Linked DNA regions of Nothobranchius furzeri. The protein of the gene in region 1 binds, or shares a complex with, the protein of each later gene. Links are inferred from orthologs where the notes say so. Each region holds a gene or a part of one and is shown on either strand. Other genes may lie near its edges.

Region 1 (16,749 bases):
GAAAGAATTACCCCGACGCATGCAGACGAACTAACACTTTATTCGTTTCACACATCGCAGATGTAGCTAAATCACCCAAGAAAAGATTCCCATCTGAACATCTGAGCTGGACACTGCTCAGCGCAGCTCGCTGTCAGCGCGTACGTATACGGCGCACAGCGAGCTGAAGATGTGGAGAGGAGCTTGGAGCGCGTCGCAGAACCAGAGCGCATGCAGGAAGATTCCTCCGACTGAAGCGAGACTTGTCACTTAGAAAATGTTCTCTGATTATGAAACTTTGGCTGAATAGTGCTTGTTCCTGTTTCCAATGTGGCGTCTGAGGAGAGTCCCAGAATCTCACATCCTCGTCAGCTCAGAAAGCGCCGATATGATTACGCACAAGTGTGACCCGTCAACCCGGTCTCACAGTAAGACCGGGTTGGAAATGTTCAGGTTTACGCAGACAATCTTTACATTTAGAATCGGCATACAGATGTAAAATTAATGCAGTAAAGTATAAAGCATTTTATTTAAATATCCATTCATTATTTTACAAGCACAGAGAGCCGCATCAGATGGATGGAAGAGCCGCATGCGGCTCCAGAGCCGCGGGTTGCCGACCCCTGGGCTAAACGAAACAAGATAATGACTGCTGTGACGTCATTAGAATGTCTTGCTTTATAACGTCAGCTTGTGGGAATTTGTTGCAGGAATTGGAAGCTTTAAAGAGTCAGGTTCAGTCCCAGTTGGCTGATATCAACCAGCTGAAGACTGAGAGACAGGAGCTGCTGAGACGAGCTGAAGCAGGGGTAACAATTCTAAAACATCCCTCTAATCTGACATAAAGAAACTTTTAATTAATAAGCTAAAACCTCCTTGGTGTCGCTCAGGCCGCTGACGCAGCGCCCTCTAGTGACGGCACATCAGACGCCATCAAAGAACTGGAGAGCCGGCTCTCAGCACAGATGTCTGAGACGGAAAGACTGAAGGTGTTTTAGATTGATCCGTTTTAAGTGAAGTGATCTGATTTCTGTTCATAAACATTGATCAGTAACCACCGTCACCAACTCCTCCCGCTTTAGGAGAGCCAGGCGGGGTTGGAGCAGCAGCTGGCTTCTGCCACGAGCACCGTGGCTATCCTGCAGACGGAGAAGTCGAAGCTGCAGAGTGAGCTCCAAGAATCCAAGAAGGAGCAGGATGACCTGCTGATGCTGCTGGCAGACCAGGACCAGAAAATCCACGGCCTGAAACAGAGACTCAAAGACCTGGGAGAGCCGGTACAGAAACAACCCACCCTTAGTGGCGAGGTTTTGTCTTCAGGGCTTCAGATTTAGTTTTTAAACTAAATGATATAAAAATGATCGAAGTCTAGCTTGAAGTATCTCTTGCCTCCGTCATCATGGGTTCTGTCATCCATCCTACATCATTGAGCGAGCATCCCCTGAATGGCTCTGGTTCAGTAATGATCTTCACATTTCATTCTGGTCACCATGGCAACAGCAGTCATGCAGAGTGTCATTTTTAGTTTCTGTTAGGTAAAAACTGCTCTTGTTGTGTTTCTGACCCCAGATCAGCTAACGGAGTCGGGCTCCGTCCCGACACCACTCAGCCTTGTTCTGTCTGTCTGCTCTAGTTAGACTATGACTCTTCCCTCGCAGGTGGAAGATGAAGATGACATCGACGCCAGGGAGCAGACATCCGACGAGGAGGACGAAGACGAGGACTAGAAACACTGAAAGGTGTGATGTGAATCTGCCTCCCAAGAGAGAAGAAGAGACTGTCGAAAGTCGCCTGAGAAACTGAGGAATAGGACTAATATATATATATATATATCACAGCAGGTTCTCCACCAAGCTGCCATGCTGTCTTCATAATTCTCATCACATTCTCATATTTAACATTCGGAAAGTTTTTGTTCATGTTTGTTTTTCAGTGATTTAAACTCGTTGGTGCGTTCATCTCCACAAAACCTCTGTGACCAGTTCTGCTTGTCTTCTGTTCTTTAGTTGTTTTTAATGCACAGTCTAATCTGGGAAATCTAAAGAGGAGGGATTTAAAACGTAGCGATAAAAGATGATTATTAATTTAGTGTTTTGTGAGCGTCTCTCCTGCGTTCTGCTCACAACTCTTCTCTGTGCTCCACCCTGGATTCATCCGCCTCCACGCCCAGTACAAGGTTAGTATTACGGAGCTCTTTCCTTTCACCTCGACGGCTCAACACGACTGCTCTGCAACATGCTGCAAAACACTGACGACATAAAAAAACATGCTAAGATGTATTTTTGCAACCCCTTTTGACCCAGTTCTGGCATTAAGCTTCTGTATGATATTCTGTAACTTATGAGTTTAAAGAAAAACCTTGAAATGAATAAAAAATCTATCTGTATGCCATATGGAGGAAAAAAATGTAGGTACATTTTAATAAATCCACAATAAAATGTTTTGGTCTTATCTGCTTTGGATTAAAATATGTAAATATTTATTATAAATATTTAATCAGACTTTTATTTGGAAATATTCTTAAAGAAATTTGGAGCAAATTTAAAATGACAAAAATAAAACTCCATTAGTAAGTAAATGTGTACAAGTAGTTCTACTAAAGCGTGTGAAGCTTCTTGTAACGGCTGCTCCTCACCACTAGGAGGCAACAAACACCTGAGTTTATGTTCTCAATAACATTAACGTTTAATTTGTAGCTGTTTGGTTTCTGCCACAGTTCATTCTACATGAGACTTTCCTCGTGTGGCTGGAGTTTCTTATGTAGAGTATTTTGTTCAGGGGGTTTCGTGCAGACCTGAGATGGAAAAAACGGCTAGAATAGAATAGACTTGATCCCACAGTGGGAAATTTCACTTGGTACTGCAGCACAAACTCTTCAGAAAAATTATAAAAGTGCGCGTGTATATTTATGTCGATGGTATAAACACATAGGCAGTCAAATATTATTGTAACCTTCAACCACTGAAAAACCAAAATGAAACTTAGGTTCCAGAACTACGCAGCATAACACAGACATACTATGTAAATCTGGAACTGACCTCGTACAGAGTATTGCATTGATGTTATTGTGCACCAGTATAATGCCAGTACCAGTTCAACTGAGGAGTTATACAGTCTTACTACAGAGGGGATGAATGATCTAAGGTAGCATTCTGTTTTAAATCTGGGATTTGCCAGTCTGCCTCTGAAGGAGCTGTCCATGGTCTCCACAGTGAGCAGCTCAGTAATACGCTAAACAAATCCTACAGGATGTATGCAAATAACAGCAAGATCTGCATGTTTCAGTCTCGTTTGGTGGTGCCAGGGCCAAACTGATGTCCAGGTGCAGCTTTAGGTGACGGCAGCAGATTGTGCTGATAAACTGGTTATTTGTGCTTCAATTTTCAGAAGCTGCCAAGTTTTAGAAAAGTCTGATTTAACTGTGAAAATAAAGGTGTCTTTTTGGTTCTTGCTGCCTCACCTCTGTGGATGAAAGCCACATACATCATAATTTGATTCCAGGAATATAAATTTGAGGTGGAAAAAAGTGTGATGTATCAAAAGGGTCAGTTTTCACCATAGAATTGACTGTAAACTTTCATGCACGTCAGAGCTGCAAAGTCAAGGTTACGCCAGCTGGAGGGTCCAGATGCACAGATCAACCTTTCGCTCACTTATTGTTCTTCAATGCAGTCGTAAACTGTTGAGGTCTCCCGCTAAAGCCTTATCTCTCTGCTAAAAGTCAGACAGCTGGATTCTTCACTTTGAATAAAAGTGAATCCACACGAATCCTATGAGGCTTTACAACTTATAAGTTAAATAATCATATGAATGAACAAGATATTTAAATGTTTGAAAAACCTGTGCTTAAATTGATGAATTTGAAATGAATATTGTTCTTACAATGATCCATTTATATCACAAATCACTGTTTGATTTAACAAGTTAATCGTTGTTTACACTCATACACATTACAATAAGATACAAGGTTAAAAACATTTTTGTATCTGAAGGAAGGCGTGGCTTTCTGAGGAATGTTTTGGTAAAGCCTTCCAGACATGACACATTCTGATTTGCCAGAATACGCCAGAAATCATAAAGTAGTTTAATAAAACAGGAAATACTTCCCGAGTAATTCAGTTTCTAGCGGAGTTCCGAACCGGCCAATTCGGAACAAGCATCCTTGAGACATCTCTTTTGACATACCGTCAGAACCTGTTTGCACGCTGCAAGCTGACAGCCAGATGGCTCCCTAAGAGCCAGTGGGGCAGCTGTAGCTCAGGTGGTAGAGCGGATTGCCTCATGATCGGAGGGTCATGGGTACGATTCCAGCTCCCGCCAGGGGTATCCTGCTGTTGTGTCCTTGGGCAAGACACTTCACCCAACTTGCCTGTGTTAGTGGTGGTCAGAGGGGCCGACGGCACCAAATGGCAGCCTCGCCTCTGTCAGACCTCCCCAGGGCGGCTCTGGCTACAAGTAGCTTACCATCACTAGCAGTGTGTGAATGTGAGTGTGTATGAAAGCGTCTTTGGGTGTCTAGAAAAGCGCTATATAAGTTCAATGCATTATTATTATTATTATTAAGAGCTACATCCACTTTAGACGTAGAGAGCATTCCAGCTACTGTTGTGACCTGGAGACATCTCGAGACTGGACGGTCGTATCGGAGTTTAATCTACGAAATCCCGGTGCTGTGAGGTCCACCCGACTTCTGACAGTCCGGATCTGCTGGGGGTCTCCGCCAGGGTTTGTAGACACAACAGATTGCGTCTGAAGCTGTTTTATTAATAATCAACTCTCTAGTTTATAGTGGACAACAAATTATTTTTCACCCAGATTTCACAATTTCAAATACAACGGTTCTGATAAACATCTAGGTTATATCACACCCCTACACGTCACATTTCATCACCACATATCCACTCCATCACATCTCATTATTCATATCTTGTCACGTATAATCATTAGTTTAGAAAAGAATAAAATTCCCTTTTAACTTGACTCTGTCTGAATTAATACGAAGTGTGTTTATGGTCCCTGAACGAGTAAAAGTAACTATAATCCTCTGATTAAACATTCAAAGATCAATCAGATTGATATTTCTTATTCATATGGAATCATCACATCTTATTGGTCATAATTAATTTGCAGTCGTCACGCTATAAAGTGTGACCGCCACAAAAGTGAGAAATTTAACAGAGTTATAATAAAGGCTTGAAACATCTCCCTTTTACGTCCATGTCATACATTAGTTTCATTGTATAGCTTGTATTACTGAAATAAATAAACTTTTGTACAATATTCTGATTAAGTTTCACCCATACATGATATCACCTAACAGTTAGTATGAGGCACACAACTGGTTTTTATACTGACTCAAGCCATAAACAGTGTGAATTTTGCAGAGGAACCTTCCCTAGAGTTTAATAAAGTTCTCTCTGAATCTGAAACCTAGCTATGGTGACTTATTCAGAATCTGAATCTTGTGACCACAGAATGAGAGAAGTGCTTCTGAAACCAGGGAACAAAACCTGCAGCGCAAAGAGAAGAAATATTAGACCACACAAGGTTCTATTGCTATATCTATATTATTATCTGCACTAGTTTTTTGCTCCAATTTATTTAAAAGCAAAACAAAAAAACTTTCATTTCTGTTTTCTTGGTTTGGACGTTAGATAAAAGAAGCTATAAAAAGCTCTGACTCCTTCAGCTGAGCACCCTGCTGCATCTTCACGTGTCTAAATCACCTTAGTTGATAAACTAGCTGCACTTGTGAATAGAAAGGCCTGCTAAAGGCAGCTGTTGGTGGTTTGGTGGCAATAAAACTCAAACAATTATGTGTTCAGTTTATTACATCTCAAACAGCTGTGTTCAATAATCTACCGAAGGTCACGTTATCAGGGTATTACTTTGGGAATCCTCTTGTATTATTTTATGTGTCGAACTGTTTAGGATTTTTGTGGATTCTGCTTCATAAATGGGAACAAAAAGTATTTTTTGTGACAGGCTGCTGGTAACAAATTGGTTCTGTGGGAATTCAGCCTTGATTCATCTTTTGAATTTGAAAATATTTTTCATATCTGAATGATTGACTGACAGGGCAGAGTTAAACGACTTAAATACCCAACCATTCCTGTGGAAATGGTGGGGAGGTGGGCTCAGGGGGATGAAAAAGCTACTGAAGAAATAAAAAAAAAGAATTGGAATTTCAGAATTTCTTCCAAAGAAACATTCCTTAGCATCCCTAACATATGAAAATTAAATGACCGGAAACAAAATTATGAAGAATTAGATTTTTTTTTCTGCAGAGGGAAACCTCCCAAGTTTACTGAGACTTCATCAGAAAATGACTGAATCTGAGTTTTTCATGCAGACTGAACATGAAAATAGTCTCCTACACCTATCTCCTGCTTTAGCTTCTGATAGAAAATAGACGGTGAAACTCTAGGATCTGAATATCCTGACAGATCTATGTCACTGTTACCTATAACATTCATATACTCACCCATCTAGACTTGTGACAGCAAGGCTGTTGTTGGTTTGGCGTCCAGGAAACCATAGAGAACATCACAGCTAGTAGAAGCTAACTGTTAGCATTAGCAACTTCATCACACAGCAAAACTCCTTCAAACTTGTGTTATGTATGGAGATATTACATCAACGTTGCAAAGCAAACTAAGTTAGTGCAGAGTTGTGTTGCGGAGACCCGGCAAGATGGCGACCAGGGCACACGCAACTTTCTAAGCTCTGCTCACTTCGTCCCAAACTTTACCTAAAAGGTCCTCTTTAGGCAACAAGAACAAGACGATTACTCTCATATTGAAACTCTCTCTAAACAAACGGAGAAGAATAGACAAAATAATGTCTAAAGAGAAAGACTTTCCGCCGCTCAGACCAATGACCGGTAAGGCCACAAACCCGCTAGCCTTCCATAGCTACTCCATGAACGCAGACCCCATGGCTAAACCGGGAATGACCAGCACTGGCAATACCAAAAGAAATTGCCACTCCGATGGATACGTCAACCCAAAGCAAGGCAAACAGTAGCACTGCAGGTGTTAGAAGACCGCTAACTACTACCCCTACAAAACAACCAACACCTGCTAAAAAAAAAAAAAAAATGGCACCCAAAGTTGAACCTGAGCTCTCCTTAGCTGCTATTTTAGCAGCGATTCACAGCTTGGAGATAAAAGTGGATGGATTTGGAAAGCAACGCAAAGAGAACTCTAACCTATTCACTGGAGTTTTCCAACGGGTCGATCAAAACACGGTGGAAATTGAGGAATGTAAGTCTAAAATTTAAGTTCTGGAGAAAGAACAAGAGCTAAAAAGGGAAAATGCTATCATGAAGGAGAAACTGCTGGAAGCTGAGCGCTATAAACGTCGCTGGAACCTGCGACTTTCGGGGCTCAAAGAGCAAGAAGGAGAAAACATCAGAGAGATGATAGAAGAACTCCTGGTAAAAATCTTTCCTGGCTGGGCTGATAATATTGGCAACGTGACTGACTCGGTAGCAAAAAAAAAAAAAAAAAAAAGGGAGATGCAGACAGATCATCATGCAATTCGTGAGGAGGCTCCACTGGGAGACTGTCTGGAAGACAACAAAAAAATTCACAGATCTGCCAAGAGAGAGGAATTCGCTTCGCCCAGAGCTTCACCAAGGAAGACCGGCTGGCCAGAGAACAACTTTGGCCAAAAGTAAAAATAACCTGAGAATCTTTGAAGACCTCTAGGTTAATTACACTAATGTATGAATGTGGATGTTCTCTGTGCCCTGTAATCTAATGTTTAGATATTGAATGCACAAATGAGTATGCCTTAAAGTCTCTAATATTGAAAAATGTTCAATTAAAAAAAAAACCCATTCCCAAACAGGCGCACTGGAGCTTTTTTTCCCCAGAGAAGACTTAAGGCAGTGAACCTCAACTGGCAGCCCACAGGCCACATCTGGCTCGCCAGACCCCCTAATGGCCCCCAGTTGGGAACTTTATAGATGTTTAGCAACAGCAACATTCATGTCCCAAATATTAATCATTTTTTACGTTCTGCAAACACAAGTAAAAATATAATCCAAACAGCTTAGATAGAGAATAAAGCCATTTTTAACATGAATAAATTAAGATACAATAAAAAAAACTCTGTCCCTTGAACAAATTTAGTTGAGGACCCCTTAAAGCATTCATTCCTACCAGAGACTACTGCAAATGTATTAAAAATATGAGTAAAGTTTAACTTTGATGTAACTCTTCTAAGAGAGTTTGCACAAATAAAACACTTTCCTCTAAAATATCTTTGCTTTTGTCAAATTGACACGAAACTGATTATGAAAAACGATAATTTTGCTTATTTCTAAACTTTTGCTAAAATTGTCGATATAGAATTATACATGTGCAGCTTCCTGTTTGTTTAGAGCTAATTTCAGTCCCAGAATGATCTAAAATCACTTGAGGTTGTACAAAAATGTGTCTGATCCGTTTTATTGTCGTAAGGATCTTTTATCATTTAAATCGTAACAAACCAAGAAAACTGGTCTGCAATTTTAATAATTGCACTTTTAAGACATAAAGGCGCCTCTTAATGCTTTATTTATTTAAAACATTGTTTGATTTGTTGGATTATTTCTGCACATTTGAACAAGAAAACTTTAAGTGTAATGTATAAAACTAGATTATTTTTGGTGCAATACCTGAAAATAAAACTTTCAGGAGTTTGTTCTACTTCAGGTTATTTTTATCCCTGCTCTAAATACCCCTGTGTTCAGAAGGTAATGAGCCGCAAAAGTAGAATCTGTGAATATCTTGCTAACTTTACTGAAGTCCCTTTTTATCCATGCACCTGATGGCCCCTCCCTCCTCCTCCTCCCCTCGTCGCATCTGGTCGCATCACTCCTCCGCTCTCCCTCCTCTTCCTGCGGACTGTACGGGTCAGAGAAGCGGCCTGTTGTTAGCTGTATTCGGACACTTGTGGGTCTGTGAGCTCGGACACTTCCGCAGACAGCAGCCGCCATGCAACAGCATCTGTCTCTGGTGATATAACAACTGATCCCAGCTCAGCCGAGTCCTCCACACACCCGGATCCACCTCCAGCAGCAGCAGCTCCGCCGCTTTAGTCCTCCTTTTCCCGGATCAACCTCCAGCTGCCGCCGCTCGTTGCGCCACATGACCGTCTCAAAGGTGAGTCACCTCCATCTGCGCTGTCTGAGGTGTGGGACTGTGCTGTCAGGACTCTTGAGGAGAGTTTTCATGTGGGAGGGTTCCGCCCGCGTGCTTCTGCAGCCCTGCCATGCCCAAGGTTGAATAGAGGAGGGGAGGTCCAATTTCCAGACTTGTTCATGACCTGGGGTTGATCACTCTCCTCTCTGATGGGATATTTTGCAGGGAAAAGTGTGGATTTAGTAAAGATGTGTGTTTAATTCACTAGCATGGACAGTGACACCCAGTCCTGTGTTTCACCTGATCCAAAAGGCTTCTTCAGTAAAAGTGGGGCAGTGACTGAGTGAGTGCACATGAATCAGTCATGAGTGCAACTCAAGCACATCCTGTAAATATGTCAGATTTAGGCACACAGGCTCCTTTTCACCTGGACTTCCTGGTAGGTTGATGCTGCAAAATGAAAATGACGAATTAGAAGAGATGAGATTCTGTCAAAAATCATAGGATTAAAACAATTACTGGAAATTAGTGACAGACAAGCCAGCATCTAGTGGTTGGGGATTAGATGGAAACACAAAATTACAAGAAAATATGCAAATTTTCTGTTGGACTCATGCCGAAGGGGAACATGTGACACGTTTTGTATAAGTTCGGTCACATAGTGTGTATGATCTAATTGCAAATGAATTGGCAGAGGAGGTAAGTGCCCATCCTGTAACTGTAGTGTTGCAGGTTCAAGGCCCATCTGTCGTAGTCATGTCCTTGGGCAAGACACTTCACCCTCCTTGCCTGCTGGTGGTAGTCAGAGGGACTGGTGGCACCTGTGTATGGCAGCTTCACTTCTGTCCGTGCTCCAGGGCAGCTGTGGCTATGCTGTAGCGCATCACCACAATCGTGTGAATGACCGGTTAGTTTTAAAGCACCTTGGGGGGTTGTAGAACCCTTTATGGTGCTGTATAAATACAGGTTATTTACCATTTGTCCAACTGTTGTGCAAAAATTGTTGCAGCTCTGAAGAGTTCTCCTAATTATGTGTCTTTTTTTTGCAAATTGGTCACCAGCTCTTCCAAAGTAATTTCTCATTGAGAAGGACTCCAGATGCCTGGGACAATTATTTTACTGTTTTCAGAGAAATTCTTTATTGCAATTTTCTTTTTGCAAATACTGACTACAGAGTGTTTGCAGGCTTCTGGTAGCATTTTCAATTTAGCCTCTTTGTGTCAGAAAGTGCAAAAACATGAGACAACTTGGGGAGGTGTTGGCAGTCAAATTGTGAATGAAATGAGGATATAATGTGAGCAAATTGACCGACCCTTACCATCGGCTGGCACTCTACTGGCAACAACTGAACATTCTCTGTCACCTGATAGTAACAGTTTACTGTCTTTAACACATAAAGTACTACTACTAGGTTAGCCGTTTATTTTTTGTGTAGCTGCTCTGTCCTCTCCAACCCTAGTGAGTCGCGACAGACGGCTGCTCATACTGACCCAGGTTTTTAAGGTTTCTTCCTGTTCAAATAACATAGAGATGCTTCGTGCTCCACTGCCCTACTGGTTAAAAGTGGAATAACAACTCTCATAAATAAATCTGCTATAGCTAAAGCTAACTATGAGCTAACATTAACATGAGCTAAGTAAAATGACCCACACTATTGGACAAAATATATTATTACTTACAAGTCCAAGGCTGCACGGTGACGCATTGGTCAGCGCTGTTGCCTTGCAGCACAAAGGTTGCAGGTTCGAAACTCTGCTGCGGCCTTTCTGAGTGGAGTTGCGTGTTCTCCCCATGCATGCGTGGGTTTCCTCTGGGTACTCCGGTTTCCCCCACAGATCACAACATGCCCTATAGGTTATAAATTGTAAGTCGCTTTGGATAAAAGCGTCTGCTAAGTGAATAAACATAAACATAAGTCCAGAAGCAACAAAGCCAGGTCACCATCTGTCTGTGATTTTGTAGCCTCCTTTAGCTTCCTCAAATTAGTGTGGGCTGTGCCGATGTTTACTCCAGTTTTAGCTCTTTGCTTCGCCCCCAAAGACATTCTTCTCTTACTTTTATTTCTAGGCTCCACCATGATGCCAACAGAAAAAGCAGACTTGTTCTTTTTGTGCTTTTTATTGACATTCGGTGAACTAAAAATGCTAACCACTAGCATTACAGCTAACAGCCCTAAAGCAGGTAAAGACAGCTCCCGAAGACACCTACCCTCTCCACAAAACTACCTAGTGCTGGTTTTGGTCAGCAGAGGGCTGCAGTGTGGTGTCAAATATCAAACTGGTCAGCTTTGTAACCCAACAATCACTGAGATCAATGATAAACCTCTAGCTCAAAGTTAGTTTTACTTGAAATGGGAGTTTTCCTCTCCACTGCCGCTACATGCGTACTTAGTATGGGGATTGCTGTAAAGTCGATGCAATCTGCTGGGTTTTCTTACGCAGGAAACTTTTAAATAATGAACTGAACACAGTGCATTGATAAGTAAATTCAATTGGAATGTTTACTTTGTAAAGTGCCTTGAGATGACTCTTGTTGTGAATTGGTGCCATATAGGGCCGCACGATATTAGGGAAACCTGCGATATGCGGTAACAGTGATTAATATTGAGATGACGATATTATTTCCGATATATAAAAACTTCACTGGAACAAAAATAATCAAAAACAAAAATATAAAAAAAGACAAATTAATCATAAAAAAGGAGAAAAGCAAAGGATGTGAAGAAAGGGAAAAAGAAAATGAACAAGAAAAGGCAATCAGTGGATCCCGGGAAAAGCTGAAACAGCAGAAAGAGCAGAACAAAGCTAACTCAGGTGTTTGTTTACCATCAAAATTAAGTGCCGTACACCACGGGGGTGGGCATCTCACCTATGAGAACCCACCCAATTGGCCAAATGGGTGAAGAGCTCTATTTGATTTGTTAAAAAACACCATGCCTCTATTTGATTGACAGACTACATTATGTGTAGCAAACATTTGAGCTGACCATTCATTACGATATTTATCTGTTCTTTGTGATATGCATATTACGTATGCTGATATTGCGATATAGATAAATTTGCAATATATTGTGCAGCCCTAGTGCTATATAAACCAAACTGAACCCAACTGACTTAATTAGATTGGTTTGTAATATATTATAGATGTGTTCAAGTTATTCCATTTCAGTATTCATAATAATCAAGAAATTCAGCTTTGTGGTCCTTAAATCCTCCTTTGTGTGCTTGATGTTGTTGACCCAGGTGTCATCCATGTCTGAACCAGTGGCCCCTTATTGGTCCCTTTCAGGAGTTCTGGGTTCTTCTTCATAAAGAGATCGGACAAAGTGCATCTTGTAGGTTTAAATCATTCTTGAATGCTGATTGTAAATTCATATCTTTACATTAGATGAGCCATTATGGTTTAAAATCAGTTTAAACGTTAGGAACTTGTTCTAGTGTTTGTTTACTCACTAGACAAATTGGAAACCAGCATCACTTTTTGTGATAGTATTCACCTGATATCATGCAAAAACTACTTGATATTCATACATTTGTGCTTCTTATGCAGCAAACAAGCTGCTAATGTGATCATGAAAAAAATCTGGCCTTGTTCCCGGAGTTAATGCTGTCCTCATGTGTGCAAACACACCATCACTCATGTACTCTCTTCGAGGCTGTACTCTGCCGGGCCACCGAAGCTCCACATGGTTCTTGTCCATTGTTTCACTCACTCTCATGTGAATGTAAACAAACGTTAAGACAAAAGACAAAGCAGTTAGAAAACTTGGTGTTTAGTGACCCATGTCTAATGCTGATCATGTTTTAGAATTTGGGTCCGATTTCCCTTGAGTGTACCAGAGTACATTGGCTCGTGCTGGGTCAGGGTTAGGACGGGACCTTGTGTTCAATAATGTTTTGATTATGAGGCTTATGAACCTTAGAACTTCTGCTTACTAAATGAAGTTGAACAAAGTGAACAGACATAAGTGGTTGTTGAATTGCGCTGCTGTGCCCCTAAGATAGTGACAGGGTCTAAAATTAAAATCCAGGAAGGTCTGTGAACATTGTTCTGCAGCTTCATATTCTCTCATTTTATCCTTAAGGATTTCAGTTAAAGGGAACATATTACGCATAATTCACATGTTGCATACTTTTGTGCTGTCTTATGGATTTCTACTAAACTACTAAAAACTATTGAACATATAAAAAAACTTGTCCATCTTTTTTCCGCCAGTGTTTGGTTTTAGGAATAATTTGCCTTAAACAAGCAGTTTCAGAAAGTCCCTGTTTGTGACATCACAAATGTGGAAAATAGAATAGAACCACCTCTCATGTGCAGGAGAGAGCTAATGATGGAGGAGACGTAGTACTAATCTGAGCCCCACCCAGATATCGGAGCTTCTCAGCTTATAGCAGCCTGAGCGTTGGATGGGTGGGCGTGGCCTGGTCCAGCTTGTTTTCTTAAAGTGACAGAGCCCTGAAACAGGTCATTCTGGAAGGTAATGACATTTTTAAGAATAAAACTGCGGAAATGGCTTTATGTGGGAGGGATTCAATGCAAAGAACTTCATGTTTTTGAATTCCTGTGGAACTATTAAAGTACTGATGTCCACTTTTAAGCTACCAACAAACTACAGAATTTATTTGGCTCCAGGGATGCTTTGCCTTAAACTCACAGGTTTCCAACCAGTTTCATATCACAGACCAGCTTTGTCCTAGACGGTTAATGGTGGGGGTGTGGTGAAGTCACTTGCATAACGCAAACATGTTATGCATAAAATGTTATTATTTCATATGCACAAAAGTCTAAACTATAATTTATTGCACTCGTCGTTGAACATGTGGAAAAAATCTCTAATAAGCAACATGTAGATATGGTAAATGGCTTGTATTTGATATAGCGCCTTCTAGAGTGCTGGAACCCCCCAAGGCGCTTAACAACACAACCAGTCATTCACACATTCACACACACATTCACGCACTGGTGGGGATGAGCTACGATGTAGCCACAGCTGCCCTGGGGCGCACTGACAGAGGCGAGGCTGCCGAGCACTGGCGCCACCGGTCCCAAATTTAGAAAGTAGATTCTGATTTTATGACCATCGATATTAATGAGCAACTCAGGATGATCTGAGTGTGATCTAAAGCCTTTCAGGATTCAAGTCTTGGAATACATGCACGGATAAAAAACAAAATCTCAGTCTTCATACCAAAACCTTGTTAAAAATATTCCTACAGAAAGTCCTTTTTGATTTGAACTCATCCTTAAATATGGTAAAACACTCACGCCTTGGCTCTTCCACCTAAGCTCAGTAGATAAACAGCGAGGTCAGTCACTAACCCTCAGCTCTGCTGCGGTTTCATGCAAATTTTCCTGCCCAAATTAAACAAAGAAGAAGTTAGTCCCTCACGATCTGCACACTGTAACGCACTCCATGAGTCTGCAGGGGTTTGCAAAATGTAATCCACAACCATAAACGAGCAGTGTTCCAGCTGGAGTCACGACTTGGTGTGTTAGAGGTGTCGCGCCAACATTCGATCTGTCCAAGGGAGACCGGTGTCCAAATAAGCATTAGTCTGATTACTCTGAAACATCACCACCAAATATGTAAAACTGGGAAAAAAATAAGTTAGTTTGGAAATTCTTTAATAATTTAGGAGTTTTATTAATTTAAACATCGCACTTTGTTTCTAATAGAAAGTCTTTCATGTTGGGTCATAAAACCCTGACCAGGACTCCTGGCATGTTATCAGACTGCTAACACATACCTGAGATTCCCGCTCTTTGTCCAACATGTGACTTGTGTGGTTTGTTATGCTGGACCTCCTTTTTTCCATTTTTCCTGTTAAAAGTGTGAGTTGGTTGTTTTTCTGTTCATCTGTCAGTTAGTTTCCCCCGTGCGTATATCTGCTGTTACCTAAAAGACTTAAAATCCTGTCTCCTTTGATCCTAGATCGAAGGTGTCTTTTGGAATAAATATCCTAAGGAATAAATGTTGTTATATTTATGATCATTTTCCTGATTTTTGTGACTTGAAATGCATTCAGTGGGATGAAGTACGGAAACAGGTCTGATGAAGACGAATTAAAATGAACACAAATAAGCAGATGATTAAAAACCTGTGTGCTTTAGTTCAATTTTTATCAGTTTTCCAAACTAAAATACTTGAGGCTTCAAAATAGTCAGATGTTCCTTTAAAAACTCGCAGATAAATCTGTAGAAGTTAGAAGTACAAAAACGTGTGTGTGTGTGTGTGTGTGGTGGGGGGGGGGGGGGGGGGATATAGTTTTAATAAATATTTTTACTACATGGGACATGCACGGTCAGATCTGAATACGCTGCAATGTTTTGAAGAGGTTATGAGAGCAAATGAGTTGCAGCTCTACCAATCAAAGCTGCGTTTTCATCATGAGGTCATCTGTGTGTGTGTGTGTGTGTGTGTGTGTGTGTGTGTGTGTGTGTGTGTGTGTTTGTGTTGCCATGGCAGCAGCACGACTCACGGTCTGGTAGTGGTTGACTTGTAAATTGGTGTTTACTTGTGTACAGATACTCTGTGGCCTCTCCCAGCTGGATAATGGTACGCCTCACCACACCACAAAACCCGATCAGGAACACAACAAAGAACCTGGTCTGATCCAAATGGGCCCCACACAAACCAGACCCTCCATAGTCAATATCCCAGGCAGGGGCGCTCCAAGAAAATTTTGATAGGGGTCGCCAGACGGGGCCAAATAATCTTTTGGGGGTGGCACACCAAATTGGTCGTTGTGGTAACTCTGGGAGAGCTTAGCCTGTGGCGATGTATTGCATTGCTCCTTTATTCATTTTTATTGAAAAAACAGTACATATCCAAAACATTCATCTTAAATGTTACAAACACAAACATTTCAGAAAAGTACATTTGTCATTTAAAATGTTACTTCTAATATTATTTTAAAATATATATTTTTTAGTTTAATTCACCTGTTGCTGTGTTCACAAAAAATATGGAGATAAAAACTTTTTTTAAATGGTGAGCAGCAGAAACCATTTTTAAAATTCTCATTATTTCTTTACTTATTAATTGTATTATCTTTATTTTGTTTTCCAATCATGTCTTCAATAAACCAGATCAATTTATTCTTTGAGTGAACATTAATATGATTTATTAACACTGGCTTTTGCTGGGGGAGCCAGCATTTTTCTGGCCACCCCTTGGGACACCATTAATCCCAGGGCTGAAGTCCAGTCTCACATGCTTTGTTTACATAGATCTGACTGTAAACACAATGTTTTCTATTGATGATACTGGTGCAAAACGTAATCAGAGTAATAAGTCACGCTTTGAGACCAGAGGAGTTCAGAACAAATCTAGTTCAACAAAGCTGGGCGTTATTTATGTTAGCTTGGTCATCAAACTCTAAAACTTTATCATAAATAACAGTAAGACAATTGTTGTGAATTCTCGTCCCTCTTCAGGCTTTCTGTACATCAACAAAAAAGATGTTTTACAATCAATCAATCAATCAATCAATCAAAGCTTTATTTATAAAGCGCCTTCCGCAACCCTGTCAGGAAGCCCAAAGCGCTGAACATTGTACAGTTGTATGTAAATATATTGAATAAATCAACAATAAAAGAAATTCAAATTACAAAATACAAATTACAAAATACAAAA
Region 2 (13,581 bases), on another chromosome or scaffold:
GCGAGTCCTTAAAAAGTCTTAAATTTGCTTTTCCAAATTTAAGGCCTTAAAAATCCTTAAAAATGACAAATAAACCTCAAATAGTTTACAAAGGTCTTAAATTACCAAAGACCCAATAAACAAGATTTTTTTATTTCTATAAAATTCTCGTGAATTTCTAGTTAGTGGTCAGCATTTTTTGTATATGATATTGGCGTAAGCGGAACCGTACACATTCGGTCGGTTGTGAAAGGGGGCTATTTTTAGATGAGCATGCTAGTGGGAGTTTGCGCCATGGGGATGTGCAACATTAATGGTAACTGGATGGCTAATCCCACGTTCGCGACGTGGTTAGCATCGGATCCAGGCAATAGCTGGAAATTATAGCTGAAATTTTAAAAAATTGCTTAAATTTGGTCAAAGTGGCCTTAAAAAAGTCTTAAATTTGGCTCCCTTAAACCTGCAGATACCCTGATTAGCTATCGACGCAGTAAGCTGCCAACAGTCGTAAATCAGGTAGAGACTTCCCACTTTTGTTTTTACCCAAACCACAAAAATGTTCGGTGCAGTTTGTGGCCAGCAGAGGGCCACAGAATGCGGTCTAATGTGAAGTTGCTCAGTTTGGTGGCTCCAGAATCGCTGAAAGCAGTTTGAAAGCAATAGCGGAATGTGTTTAAAACTCTTTAGTGTTGCTTCTTTGTATTTTTGACATAATCTCAATGTTTTATCCCATAATTGTTTCTCAGGAGCACCACGAGGAGGACTTTTTCCTCTACATTGCCTACAGTGACGAGAGCGTGTATGGGAACAGCCAAAGGGAAATCTGATCCCCCCCCAACCACCACCCACCTTTCTGAGACCTCTGTCTTTCAGTCATTTGAATATTAAATCCAGTTCCGCAGCTTAGAGTTCCCCACAGTAAACCCATCTAATGCACTTTCATCTCAACTCTACATCACCTCTCTCTCAGTCGTCTGGTCTTTATCGTTCTGCAGTCTGAATTGTATTCAGTAACTCTTCTCACCTGGTGGTCTCAAGGCCAGTTATGTTTCTAGTGCCGTTATCGGCCGATGAGAAGGAAAATTAAATCAGTTATTAATGGTGCAAAACTTAATAATTAGGTGTGCAGTTTTAGAATGATTTAGAATAGGAAATTATTACTTCTGAATTAAAGGCTTGTAGTTTTGTCTCTGGCAGGGGAAGGGATAACTTTTGCAGCAGCTGCTTCTTAGGAAAAAACTTTTTATTTTTTATTTTTGGAAGACATCTATTTAATTAAATAAAATCTACAATGTGGTGCCCTGCATCTGATCTCAGCAAGGAGTTCAGTAGAATTCAGACTTCACACGATCATGCTCTGCTCTCAGTGGTAAAGTTATGTTGACTGCTACTATGATTATTGTTGTAATTGTTCATTTTAGATGGCTTATTTTCTAAAGGTATTGTAAAGCTGAGTGCAATTTTTTTAAAGTTTGTTTTCTTTAATAACAGATTGAACTCTGTATACAGCTGCTTTACTGGCTCTCTCTCTCCATTCAATGCCGTACTTGATAAAATGTTATTAGAAATCTATTTGTGGTTTTTATTGAATTTTGGATCTTGAACAGCAGTTGTTGATGTTCAAACGTCAGTTTTGTTCAGCCTTTAGATTCTGTTCCTCTATTTGAAAGGTGTGACTTACTGCCTTAAGATTTGAGGGTGCTCAGTTTAACCAGGAAACACAAACTTTTTATTCTAATAGTAGAAAATTGCTCATCAGGTACATGTTTTCTAATTGAATGTTCTTAATCACACACACAAATCCAGAGTAAGATGCGGTGGGACATTCCAATTCAATAATTTTACATATTTTACAAATTTTACACCATTCAACAGCATCTCCTCTCACTACCAACCCTCAGCACCCCCCACCCCCCCTAAATCTGACCAGGTGAGGAGAGAACCAAGGTGGCTTAAGAGCAGGAAGGCTGCAGGTCCTGGCGGGATCAGCCCCAGAGTGCTCAAAGACGCACATGTCACGCACATGTTCAACCTGAGCCTTCAGTTGGAGCAGGTCCACGTTACGTGGACGACCTCCTGTGTGGTTCCAGTTCCCAAAACATCACATCCCTGGGAACCAGACCACTACAGACCAGTCGCCTTGATCTCCCATCTGATGGAAGATTATGGAGAGACTCATCTTTACCCATTTACGTTCAATGGTGAGCCTGGAAGTAGATCCACTGCAATTTGCATAGAAACCAAACATGAGGTGGAGGACGTGCTCATCTACCTGCAGCACCAGGCCCCGACACCTTGAGGTGCAAAAAAGCACTGAGAAAAATGTTCTTCGACTTCTCAAGTGCTTTCAACACGTCCAGCCGTGTCTACTGCAGCAGAAGATGAGGGGTGCAGGAGCGGACGAACATCTGACTGCATGGACCACTTGCAGTATGCTGCATAGTTCTGGAACCCAAGTTTTTAAATTTTCATTCATGGTTTTTAGTGGTCGAAGGTTACGATAATAGCTTACTGCTTGTGTTTATATATACATGTACCTTTTGTTGTTCTTCAAATAATTCTTTTAAGCGTTTGTGCTTCTGTGAGAAGTGAATTTCCCCCCACTGTGGGATCAATAAAGTCTATTCTTTTCTAAATCAACAGTACTTTTCAAAGAGCTAAACTCTAAAAACATTTTAAGTGTGATGTACTTATTTTAAGGTTTTCAGATAATGAACAAAGATTCTTGGTCAAAACCATGAAGGATGTTGTCCATTTTCCAAGCTCATAAATAGTACGGGTAAAACTACAATTCCCTTGATGCTTTGCGAAGGAAACATCACCACCGAAAGTGCAAATTGACTTCCTCACCCGGGCCCAAAACCGCTCCTTGCTCATTTATACCTGCGCAGAAGTTTAAGCTAAATACGCCACAGATAGAATACTGGAGCATATTTAAATTCTTCGTAAACGACTCACAAAACGACAAAAGTAAGTTTAAATACATTTTGCAAATTGACATTCAAGTAAAGTCGATCTAAACCAGGCAACACGGCGACGTGCTTTGCATCTAGCTAGCAAACCGTAACTCCCTATGTGTCCCCAAAAAACTAATTTGTCACAGTTTTGCTTGTGAAGAAGCACATAGCTTGTGTTTCAAAATGTATTCGTGTTTGCAGGAGAGTTTTAAGTTAGAAATATTCATAATAACGTGTATTACAGTATTTGTTAGCCTAGCCTACAGCTAATAGCATTTTATCCCATTTTACTCGTGCTTTATTATGGAGTTGCTACACGCTAGCTACGTACTGCCCAATGTAATGATTTCCGGGTCTGCTTGGTGACCCTGTAATGATGTTCTTAACCACACTAGCTGGCCCCTCCGCTGCCTGTCACTATGCCCGCACTGCTGGAGAGACCCAAGCTGTCTAACGCGATGGCCAGAGCCCTCCACAAGCACATCATGAGGGAGAGGGAGCGCAAGAGGCAAGGTGTGTTGGTGCTTCTCTGACTGAACGGACCATATACTGAACTTGTAGCCGATACAATACACTTTCTGTACAATTCTGATTTTGTTCCATTCTGTTCTAGAATCTCAGTCCTTTTAAAAAAAAATCCCAGTTCTCATCCCCATCCAGTTCTTTTCTACAGTCATTGGTTACTAAACTAGACAATTTTTGCTCCAAGACACAAACATCAACAGGCAATTGATCTAAACGATGAAAATGTTCATTTAATTATCAAAATGTGTCTACATTTATCTAGTGTTTATTCTTCTCTAAATAATGTAGGTTTTCTGCGTGCTTAATAATGTGATTTTCAGAGGAAGAGGAAGTAGACAAGATGATGGAGCAGAAGCTAAAGGAAGAGGAGGAGAGAAAGAGGACAAAGGAGATAGAGGAGAGGATGTCGTTAGAGGAAACCAAAGAACAGGTTGGTAACATAAAAATCACATTTCCATCTTCAGCTTGTTTTATTTTTGTTAATAATAATAATAAATGTTATTTAAAAGTGCCTTTCTATACACTCAAGGTGACTGTACATGATAAAAACACAAATTTATTAAATAAGTAAGTAAGTAAACATAAGTACAAGGAAAGAAAATAAACAAGGCACTCTAAAATTCAAAGTAGATGGGTGGTTTAAAAAAGAGGTGAGTCTTGAGCTGGTTTTGAATCGAGTAAGTGAGTTTATGTTCCTGATGCGAGGGGGAAGGGAGGTCCAGAGTTTGGGAGCGATGAAACAGAAGGCTCTACTCCCCATGGCGCTGAGGCGTACAGAGGGCACAGAGAGATGAAGGAGGAGGATGATCTGAGGGAACGGGACGAGGTGACGACATGGAGATCTGTTAGGTAATGAGGGTCAAGGTTATGGACGGCCTCGAAGGTGAGCAGGAGAATTGTAAAATCGATCCTGGCTTGCAGTGGAATCCAATGAAGCTGTTGAGGATGGGGTGATATGGTGAGGTAAGGGAGTTTTTGTTAGGACACGTGCTGCTGAATGTTGTACCAACTGGAGCTTACGGCGTTATCAGAGTTAATAGCTCTGATACAAAAACATGCTGTGCCTGTATTTTAACACCAGGTGATGAAGATGGAAGAAAAGCTGCAGGGACTCCAAGAGGAGAAGCATCAGTTGTTTTTACAACTCAAGAAAGTTCTCCACGAAGAAGAGAAGAGGCGCAGAAAGGAGCAGAGGTATAACCCAATAATATTATGGAGTTTTTTTTTTAAATCATTTAATGACTGGTGGAATTCAGCCTGTGCCCCTTCCTGTTTCTGTAGTGACATCACTACCCTGACATCAGCCAGCTACCAGCCCAGTCTGTCCATGCACACAGGGCAGCACCTCCTCAGTATCCCAGGTGAGACAGCGTCACTGGTCCTCCGTCAGGAACTGTAGGCGGTAGTTTTAACTGTCCTGTGACTTCTGTTGTCTCAGGCAGCCCAGTCAGCCACAGTCGACCCGGCGCTCTGCTGGGAGAACGCAGCAAACAGCTGTTCTCTGCTTCTGTGATCCCTGTAAGTCAACAGGATCTCTGGCCTCCCCTAAACATCAAATGTACTCATTTTTATTCTAAACAGTCTCTGTGTAAACAGAAGTGAGAAGAAATAAGAAGTCCCTTTTCTTAATACCTTCATCTCCCCTTGTAGACCCGCCATTATCAGACCCCCACATTCAGTTCAGGCTCAGCAGAACACGGACAGTTCAGCGGGAGCCAGGGCGTCCATGAGCCTTACGGGGTGGCTCAGGCCCAGCACCCCTCCTCCTATGCTCCAGGACCTTCAGTACCCGTCAGTTTCCCCAGCAGTTCTCAGATCAGAGGTGAGGCATCAGTAACGTGAATCAGCTTGAGGACAACAGGAAGTGTTGTCTAAACATCTGTTTACCTTCAGGTGCGTCTGCGTTTCAAGCCATGCAGTACCTCCCTCATCAGCAGGCTGGTTATCCTGTTCACAGCCCTTTTACCTCTCAGTCAGGTGAGTCTCACCCGTATGTCGCAGCCCAGCGCTGTTGTTTAAACTACGCTTGATGTTTTGTTTTTTTACTTAGTAGGAATTGTTTGTTTCAGGATACATCCCAGCACCAACGATATCTCTACAGAAGCAGCTGGAACACGCCAACCAACAGTCCGGCTTTACTGATGCTGTAAGAGCAAAATGTTTGAAATTACTGCGTTTTTTTTTTTTTTTTTTTTTTGTTTAACGGGGACATATTATGCAAAACTAACCTATAGCATCCCTTTGTGCTGCCATGTGAGTCTATACTGCCTCTGTAATAATAATATTGATTTATGAAGCACTTTCCATTATTTACTCAATGCTGGTGATGGTAAACTACTATGTAGCCACAGCTGCCCTGGGGCAGTCTGACAGAGACCAGGCTGCCTTTTTGCGTGATCGACCCCTCTGACCACCACCAACAAAGACAAGTTAAGCCGGGCGTACACTGTGCGACTTTTTCAATTTTTTGAGCCGATTTTCCAGTCGTGCGAGAATCCACGAGATCGGGGCGAGTTTTGCGCCGAGCGTCGTGTAGTGTACAGGGGGTTACGAGAGGCGATTAACACCACGTGACCAGCTACCGATCAGCAGTCGTGAGCTCGCACGGACTTCTGGCGTGTTTAATATTTTGCTCGTCCCTCGTGAGGGTATCGCACTGTTGAAGCGGCGCTGCGAGCAGCTGCAACCCAAAATGTATCAGAACCGCTCACGGCGCATGCGCAATCCTGCATCAACACCGTTCGCTCGCTATTTCCCTAATAACACACGTTGTCCGTTTTAATTTCTACACGTTTTTTACACACAAAGATTGTCAAGAAAGCGTGTTTGTCGTGTTCATGTCAAATTAAACTGATCACAAAACACAGATTTACTTTCTTTATTTCGTTTTCCTCATCCAACCCCCATAAATCCCTGTGCGTCCTCCTGCAGCACTCCTGAAGGACAACAGGCAAAACAAGACAAAAAAGTCTGACGTGTTGTGTAAAAACTGCTATTTTTAGCATATTTTTGGGCCGACCTGTTGCTACCAGACGTACAGTGTGAGCAGTCAGGTCGTATCCGAGAACTGGGTCGTGCAGTGTGAGCGCATGACTCGTGAGATCTGCCCTGCGAGGAAGTCGTACAGTTAGAGCTGAAGCTGAGTGCTACGAGTGAAAAAGTCGCACAGTGTCCGCCTGGCTTTAGGTGACGTGTCTTGCTCAAGGAAACAGCAGCTAAATTCTCTGCGGGGGGGGGGGGGGCATCGATCCTGCAAACCTACAATTACTCGACAACCCCGCTCTACCTCCTGAGCTACTGCTGTTGCCCTAAAAACACCCCAAATGTGAAAAATAAAACCTCCATCCGTTTTCTTTCAGTGTTTGGTTTTAGGAATTATGTGCCTAAAATGAGCTGTTTCCAAAAGTTCACATTTGTGATGTCACAACAGGAAAACCAGAATAGAGCCACTTCTCAGGTGCAAGAGAGAGGTGCTGCGGGGGGATCAGTGGCTCTATTACAAGCCTCCCATGGATGTCGGAGCCTCCCACCTAACCGTAGCTCATCAGGGGGTGGGTGGTCGTGGCCCACTAGCTTGTTTTCTTAAAGTGACAGAGCCCTGAAACGGCTCATTTAGGAAGGAACTGAAACCATCAAGAATAAAACAGCTGAAAGATCTTTATGTGGGAGGGATTTAGTGCAGACCATAGACTATTACACCTTAAGACAGAAGTCACAGTACATCCCCTTCAAACAAGAACGCCGCACTACAGCAGCTTCTCCAACCTGCACTTGAGTTTGCTGTTTAGTGTTTTGGTTCTGTGTCTTGTTGATGTTTCAGGGCGGTTTGAGGCCCATGCACCCCTCAGCCATGCATCCCTCAGCCCAAGGTCTGCTGCCTGCACCTATGGTCCAGATCCCTACTGCTAAGGTGAACCATACAAATATAAACACACGCTTTCCACCACCTGTTTTATGCTTCTTATAATCAGTGATGTAAAAATCAGCAACAATCTGCCCCGCTGTGTCACCTCTCAGCTGGCTAGTGCTGGGTTAACGGTGATGCGGACAGCCCATTAGTAGTGTTTACACAGGACTTTGTTTCTGTTGTAAACATGTGGCTCAGGTTTTGATAGTGATTCACCACCTCTCATTCTTGTTGTAAATATCTCCCTGAACAGCCTCAGTTCAGAGAAATGAAGGTCACACCGGACAGGACCGTTAAGCTAACAGCGAAAGTCTTAAAACCAATATTTCATGTAATGTTTAATCCTCCCACTTAGTCATTTAGATGGAAATCTGTTTCCGCAAGAGCATAAGTAACAGCAGGGATGTCCTGATGTTACCAAAACAAGGCTGTGTTGGAAAACGTACGTGGTAAAGGTTTATGGAGGTCACGCGTCAGTTTTCTGTTGCTGACATGTTTATAAATGAAACATCGCCCTTTTTTTAGGCGGTTTTGTTTTGTGTTTATGACCAGGCCCCCTTCCAGAGCTCTCCGCAGGGCACTCCTCGTCACAGCTTCCTGTCCCACAGCCAGAGCGGGCAGAGGTTTTACCACCATGGCAAGTAGCCCACAGCGCCCTCAGCATCCGCTTCCCGGACACTCTGGAGACGCCGTCGGACCTGGTCTTGATGTTTTAAACCTTTTTGATGTAAAGTTTGTACAGTAGCTTTCATCGCTTCTGGTTTAAAGTCCTCAAACTCGCACTTGTCTTTTTTGTTCTCACTACACTTTTAAATAGTAAATTTGTAAAATAACTGTATTACAGACCCAGAATTTTTAGTTTCTCCATAAATGATTGGAATTAGACCAATGAGACTGGTCCCGCACACATTAACTAGTTAAGCTTAAACACTTTGTCCCAAGTTTTTGTCTGTCCTCGGATGACCTTTTGTAACACGATTTGGAGGAAAACCAGCTGTAGCATAAATAAAGTTGGGTTATTTGGAATTATTCACTTAAATGTTGCTAAATAAACAAATCACTTTTCAACTGTTTTTGCCATTCTTTCCTTTTTATTGTTTGCCCACAGAGACGTCCTGCAAAGTCGGGCCTGGTTAAGTAAACTGCTGCTCTGAAAACAAATCTGTTCCAGGTTGGAGTCATTTCTTCCCAAAGTTTCTGCAAAGAGCTTCCCAGGAGTTGTTTTTGGACACAAAACAAAAGGAAGGTTGCGTTGTTCCGCATAGGCGCCAGGTGATGGAGCTGCTTCAGACCAGGTGTTGTGCAGAAATACGAATCCGCCTGCTGAACAGACCTCCACTGGAGATGAAGCCCTTCATAAATCAGGGATCAATAAAAAGAAAACACTGTCCCTCTTCTTTCTAAAGGTGATCATCTATTTTAAATATGCACACCTGTTCTGGTTTATGATCACGTAGTCGGGACGTGAACTGTGACCGAGCCCACAGGAGGGTCAGAAAACTGGAGAGAATGAAAAAAAAACGCAGACGAGTCATTAGCTCCCTTCGTTTCCATTGGTCTTGATTGCCCCTGAAACAGTTGCAAGGAAGAAAGAGAGAAAAGGGGAGGCGGAGTCAGGAACCATAAACGTATTTATAGGCGAAGAAAAATTACATTTCAGTGTTTTGAAATATTTAATTTATAACTCTTGATTCTACAGCCCATGTGACATAGAAAGGTGCCGTCTGAGGCTGTAAAGTCAAGAGTTCATCATTAAAATACACACCAGGAGCCTCCAGCTCTCACGGATTGTAAAGTGCGACATTAGAAGTGGTAACATGGAACAAAAGCATATGTCACAATTCATCCAGACAGGAAACCTGAAAAAGGTGCGTCTCAATATGGGGTGCCATTTGTAAAGTCAAACAGTCATAATCTAACAGCAATATTTTTGGTTATTTAGCATATCATAAGAGAAAAAAATGGGAGTTCACTTGTTCGAAATCATATTTTCACCATGTTATTCAGACATTTATAAATGTTAAAGTTTCCAAATAAATATTTAGTTGGCAAGCTAAATATTTAATTTGTAGTTAAATATTTATTTTGCAAGCTAAATATTTAGGTCTGATCTAAATATTTAGTTTGTAAAATAAATATTTAATTCACTAACTAAATATTTAATTTACTAATTAAATATTTATTTTGGAACTAAATATTTAATTTGTAAATTAAATATTTATTTTCCCAAAAAAATATTTAGATCTCAGCTAAATATTTATTTTGGAGCAAAACATTTAGTTTGCAAAATCAGTATTTGGGAAATAAATATTTAAGTCTGACCCAAAAATATAAAATATAGTGTGGAGCTAAATAACATCGTGGAAAATAAATATTTAGCTGGTACTTAAACATTTAGCTAATATGCAAATTCACTTGCCAATAAGCGGAAGTTGGTTACCAAAATAAAAGCTGGATCTCGCTAACTTCTTTATAAACTCTTGCTCCGAACCAGAACTTGTTTTGTCTCCGGTTCTATTCTTCTGAACATGTCCGACGTATTGGCTGAAGAAAAAGTGAACTCCCAATTTTTTCTCTTATGATATGCTAAATAACCAAAAATATTGCTGTTAGATTATGACTGTTTGACTTTACAAATGGCACCCCATATCTCAAACACGTATGTGCAAGTTCAACAGCGCAAACACAGATTTACGCAATAGCAAGTGTGAGTAAATGGATACATTCATTCAGTTAAATAATACATCAACTCTAACTTGAGCAGCGGCGGCGGGACCGTCTTCCCTTTGAGTCTGAACACACACACAGATGTAATCGGACGTTTCAGACACACTCTTCTCCAGGTGGGTTCAGGTCTGGCGGATTTACCTGCTCGGGCTCATTTCCCCAAGGCTTTGATGCCGATGGCGGCTTCCTCTTCCATAGCATTTAGAACGGTGATCTGGGAAAGAAAAAAGGAATCACGTTCTTTTTTTTTTTTTTGTGAAGGAATGTTTTGAATTTAGTACTCAGGGCAACGAGTGAGTGGTTCTGACCAGAATCTCTTCTCCAGCTTCATGTTTGCTCTCTATTTCTTTTCCAAGGTCTCCCTCTGGAATCTTCAGGTCCTCCCGGACTTCCCCGCTGTCCTGGAGCAGGGACAAGTATCCGTCCTGGATCCCGATGAGCTGGGAGACGGCAGCAAGTGGTCAGGATGAGTCAGAGATAGTTGTGACCCAAACAGGCTGTTCTTGTTGGGCCGATTCCACTTCTCCATGTCAGTGATTGGGGTGGGATGACACAGGACACATCCGGAACTCTGAGACTGCTTTTCCTTCAGCAGGAAACACGACTCTGGTCATGTTTGGCTCTATTCAGCCATTATTATTTATTCATGAAGGGTTTGTTAAAATATGCATGCATAGTAAAATTAAAAACACTTTAAGCTTTCTTTCTGTCCACGAGGATCACAAACAGAATACTGATGTGTGTGATGAAACTGCTCAGCTGCTAAATGCTCCACGTTTATTTACATAAAACTACAGTTATGTGTATAAAATAGTATATTTCTATCAACTTGCAGCACTTCTAGACAGCCATTTATAATATATCTGCTGATATTATGTTATAATGTAAATTCTTCATCAGTGTAAATGAAAGTGTTTACGTCGTATCCATGACGTGTTTAAAATCGGTCCTCGTTCACTTCATTTCTCATAAATCTGCTGTGGACTAGTGTGACCGAACGCCTTGTGGGTCATTTTTTTGGTGTGTCTGTTTCAGGAAGTTAGCCGGAGAAGTGGGGGCTGGAAAACGGTTGCATTTAGAGTCTTATTCATCTGATTGGCCAACAGCAGCGTGATTCTTCCGCTGCCTTTGCTTGCTCTTCTGTTTCGGCTCTCGGGACTGGATGTGGCCGGTTTATGATGAAAGTACTTATCCTGAAACTATGTTCTGGCCACTTTAAGGCCAGAAGGGGTCTGATGCTGGCAGTCTACTAGTGTTTAAGATGGCCGCCTGGTTGCAGTACTGCTCGGACTAGCCGCTAGCTCATCAATTGGGACCAAAGCTTTAACAGAGCTGGTGCAGCTCTAGCTCTGATTATATATGAGGACTAAAAGGTTCTTGACCAAAGCCCATTAAATCAAATATGGCTGCCCACTAGAGTCTAAGGCCCAATCTCAATACTCGCACTGCGGTTTTCAGCAAAGTGCACTTGGAGAAAGTGAGCAGTAGGGTTTGAGTGTTTAGTACACAAGTGCAAATAATTGCCGAATTGAGACAGGGAGCATTACGCCATCGATTGCAACGCATGCCGGGATGCTGGTGGCTGTGAAACTTTTCTCAAAAACCTTTATTAACATCTTTCGTTCAAACAAACAACAAAGCAATTACAAATAATTTAAGTTCATTGCTGCTTTGTCTAAAACATTCAGAGCATCAACTAATCGTTCTAAAATGAACTTATTTCATTAGAGAATACATATTTTCAGAAAAGGAACTTGAGCCGTTTCTCCTGCAGCAATGACTTGTGGGTAATACCCTTGCCCGAGGTCCGCATCGCTGCGGACTTGGGTGAAGCGCAGATTAAGGGTGCAACGGGGGCGTGGTCAACTTCCGTACTTGAGAATCGGGACACCCTACGCACTCGCACCCCTGGCCGAGAACGCGCAATTGAAGGGTGCAAGTGTAAGTATTGAGATTGGGTCTCACTGCTTAATTTCCACCCAAAATATCTATTTTACTTTACTTATTTTTAATACAGTTGCAGCGGTCATAGTAGAAACGAATGCCTTGTAATCCATTCTCTGGGGAATAACAGAAGAAAGCAGCTTCAGATGGCAGGATTTGGATTTCCTGATATTAGGACATCTCATCTCTGATTGGCTAACAGCAACACGAGACTGCCACTGACTCTGCTTGCTCTGCATTGTTGAGGTTTTATTCTCCACAATTAACTCAAGCCTGGAGGAGTTCTGCCGTGTGGTGGAGTTGCTAATGCTAATGGTTAGCTTCTACTGGCCGAGATGTTCTCTGCTGTTTCCTGGACGCTAAACCAACAACAGCCTTCCCCGTCGTGAGTCCAGATGGGTGAGTCCATGAATGTTAGTGACAGTGTGACACAGATCTGTCAGGCTTTTCTAATCCTAAAGTTTCGTAGTCTACTTTCTATCAGAAGCTAATGCAGGAGATAGGTGTAGGAGACTATTTTCATGTTCAGCCTGCAGGAAAAACTCAGAGATTGATGATTTTCCAAAAAATAAAAAATTGTTTGTCAGTGAACTTGCTCTTTAAATAAATCTTAACACACTGCAAACTCTGAAACAGTGTTTACAAGCATCACATGAGAGACTATACCACCAGAGTTATTTATTTCTGACTAGTGCTGGGTGGTGGTTGACTCAGATTTAGTGTTATTGTTCAGAAGCACACAGAAAACAACAGCATTCATATCAGCCTAACAGTGAGACAGCATCCTGTGAGAGGGTTTGTGTTAATGAGTGAATTACAAACAGAATGTAGAACAGGGGTCACCAACTCTGGTTCTCCAGGGCTACCACCCTGCACAAGTCAGCTGTTTCTTTGCTCCTACACACCTGATTGTAAGGAATATTAACAGGCCTGTGCAGAGTTAAAGGTGGTAAGAAGAGGATGTAATTAATCCATTAAGGTGTGGTAGAGCAGGAAACACAGAAAACAAGCAGGATGGTAGCCCTCGAGGACCGGAGTTGGTGACACCTGATGCAGAGGATATTCAAATTCAAATATACTTTATTAATCCCAGAGGGAAATTGATTGCTGTAGTAGCTCAGAATAATAATAATAATCAAGTCATCAAAGAGTTATTGTATATTACAATGGCTGTTGGCAGGAAGGATCTCCAGTAGCGGTCAGTGTTGCAGTGAAACTGAAGAAGCCTCTGACTGAAGACACTCTTCCGTTGTCGGACAGTCTTGTGAAGAGAATGCTCAGGGTTGTCCATCATTTTCTTGATTCTCTGGAGAATCCTTCCTTGCATTATCTCCTCCAGCGGTTCCGAAACTGCCGATACTCTGGCTGAGTCCTTGAAAGGGCTTGGAGTTCATCCATCTTGTTGGCCAGTGATCTCACATTGCCCATTATGATCGATGGAAGAGATGGTTTGAATTTCCTCTTTCTCTGTCTCCGCTTTTCTCCCGCTCTGCACCCACGCTTCTTGCGTTTTAGCTCATTTGGGATTTGTGGCTTCAGTTG

What was found.
Region 2: coro2aa (region 1) and gps2 share a complex: the UniProt entries of both Homo sapiens proteins name them as parts of the N-Cor repressor complex. The link is inferred for Nothobranchius furzeri from reciprocal best matches to the Homo sapiens genes CORO2A and GPS2.

Annotation. Positions count from the first base shown.
Region 1 is NC_091744.1:13,158,524-13,175,272, forward strand, and holds the start of coro2aa (coronin-2A), read left to right. Parts: upstream 1-8,817; 5' UTR 8,818-9,116; coding exon 9,117-9,131; intron 9,132-16,749. Other genes in the region: uso1 (general vesicular transport factor p115), read left to right, coding at 690-788, 870-968, 1,062-1,256, 1,638-1,706.
Region 2 is NC_091742.1:53,236,304-53,249,884, forward strand, and holds gps2 (G protein pathway suppressor 2), read left to right. Parts: upstream 1-2,809; 5' UTR 2,810-2,949; intron 2,950-3,331; 5' UTR 3,332-3,355; coding exon 3,356-3,449; intron 3,450-3,781; coding exon 3,782-3,891; intron 3,892-4,542; coding exon 4,543-4,655; intron 4,656-4,742; coding exon 4,743-4,822; intron 4,823-4,899; coding exon 4,900-4,979; intron 4,980-5,111; coding exon 5,112-5,283; intron 5,284-5,354; coding exon 5,355-5,438; intron 5,439-5,530; coding exon 5,531-5,607; intron 5,608-7,281; coding exon 7,282-7,371; intron 7,372-7,920; coding exon 7,921-8,013; 3' UTR 8,014-8,436; downstream 8,437-13,581. Other genes in the region: gabarapb (gamma-aminobutyric acid receptor-associated protein), read left to right, coding at 726-806; eukaryotic translation initiation factor 5A-1, read right to left, coding at 10,247-10,309, 10,404-10,535. UniProt on the Homo sapiens protein: Key regulator of inflammation, lipid metabolism and mitochondrion homeostasis that acts by inhibiting the activity of the ubiquitin-conjugating enzyme UBE2N/Ubc13, thereby inhibiting 'Lys-63'-linked ubiquitination.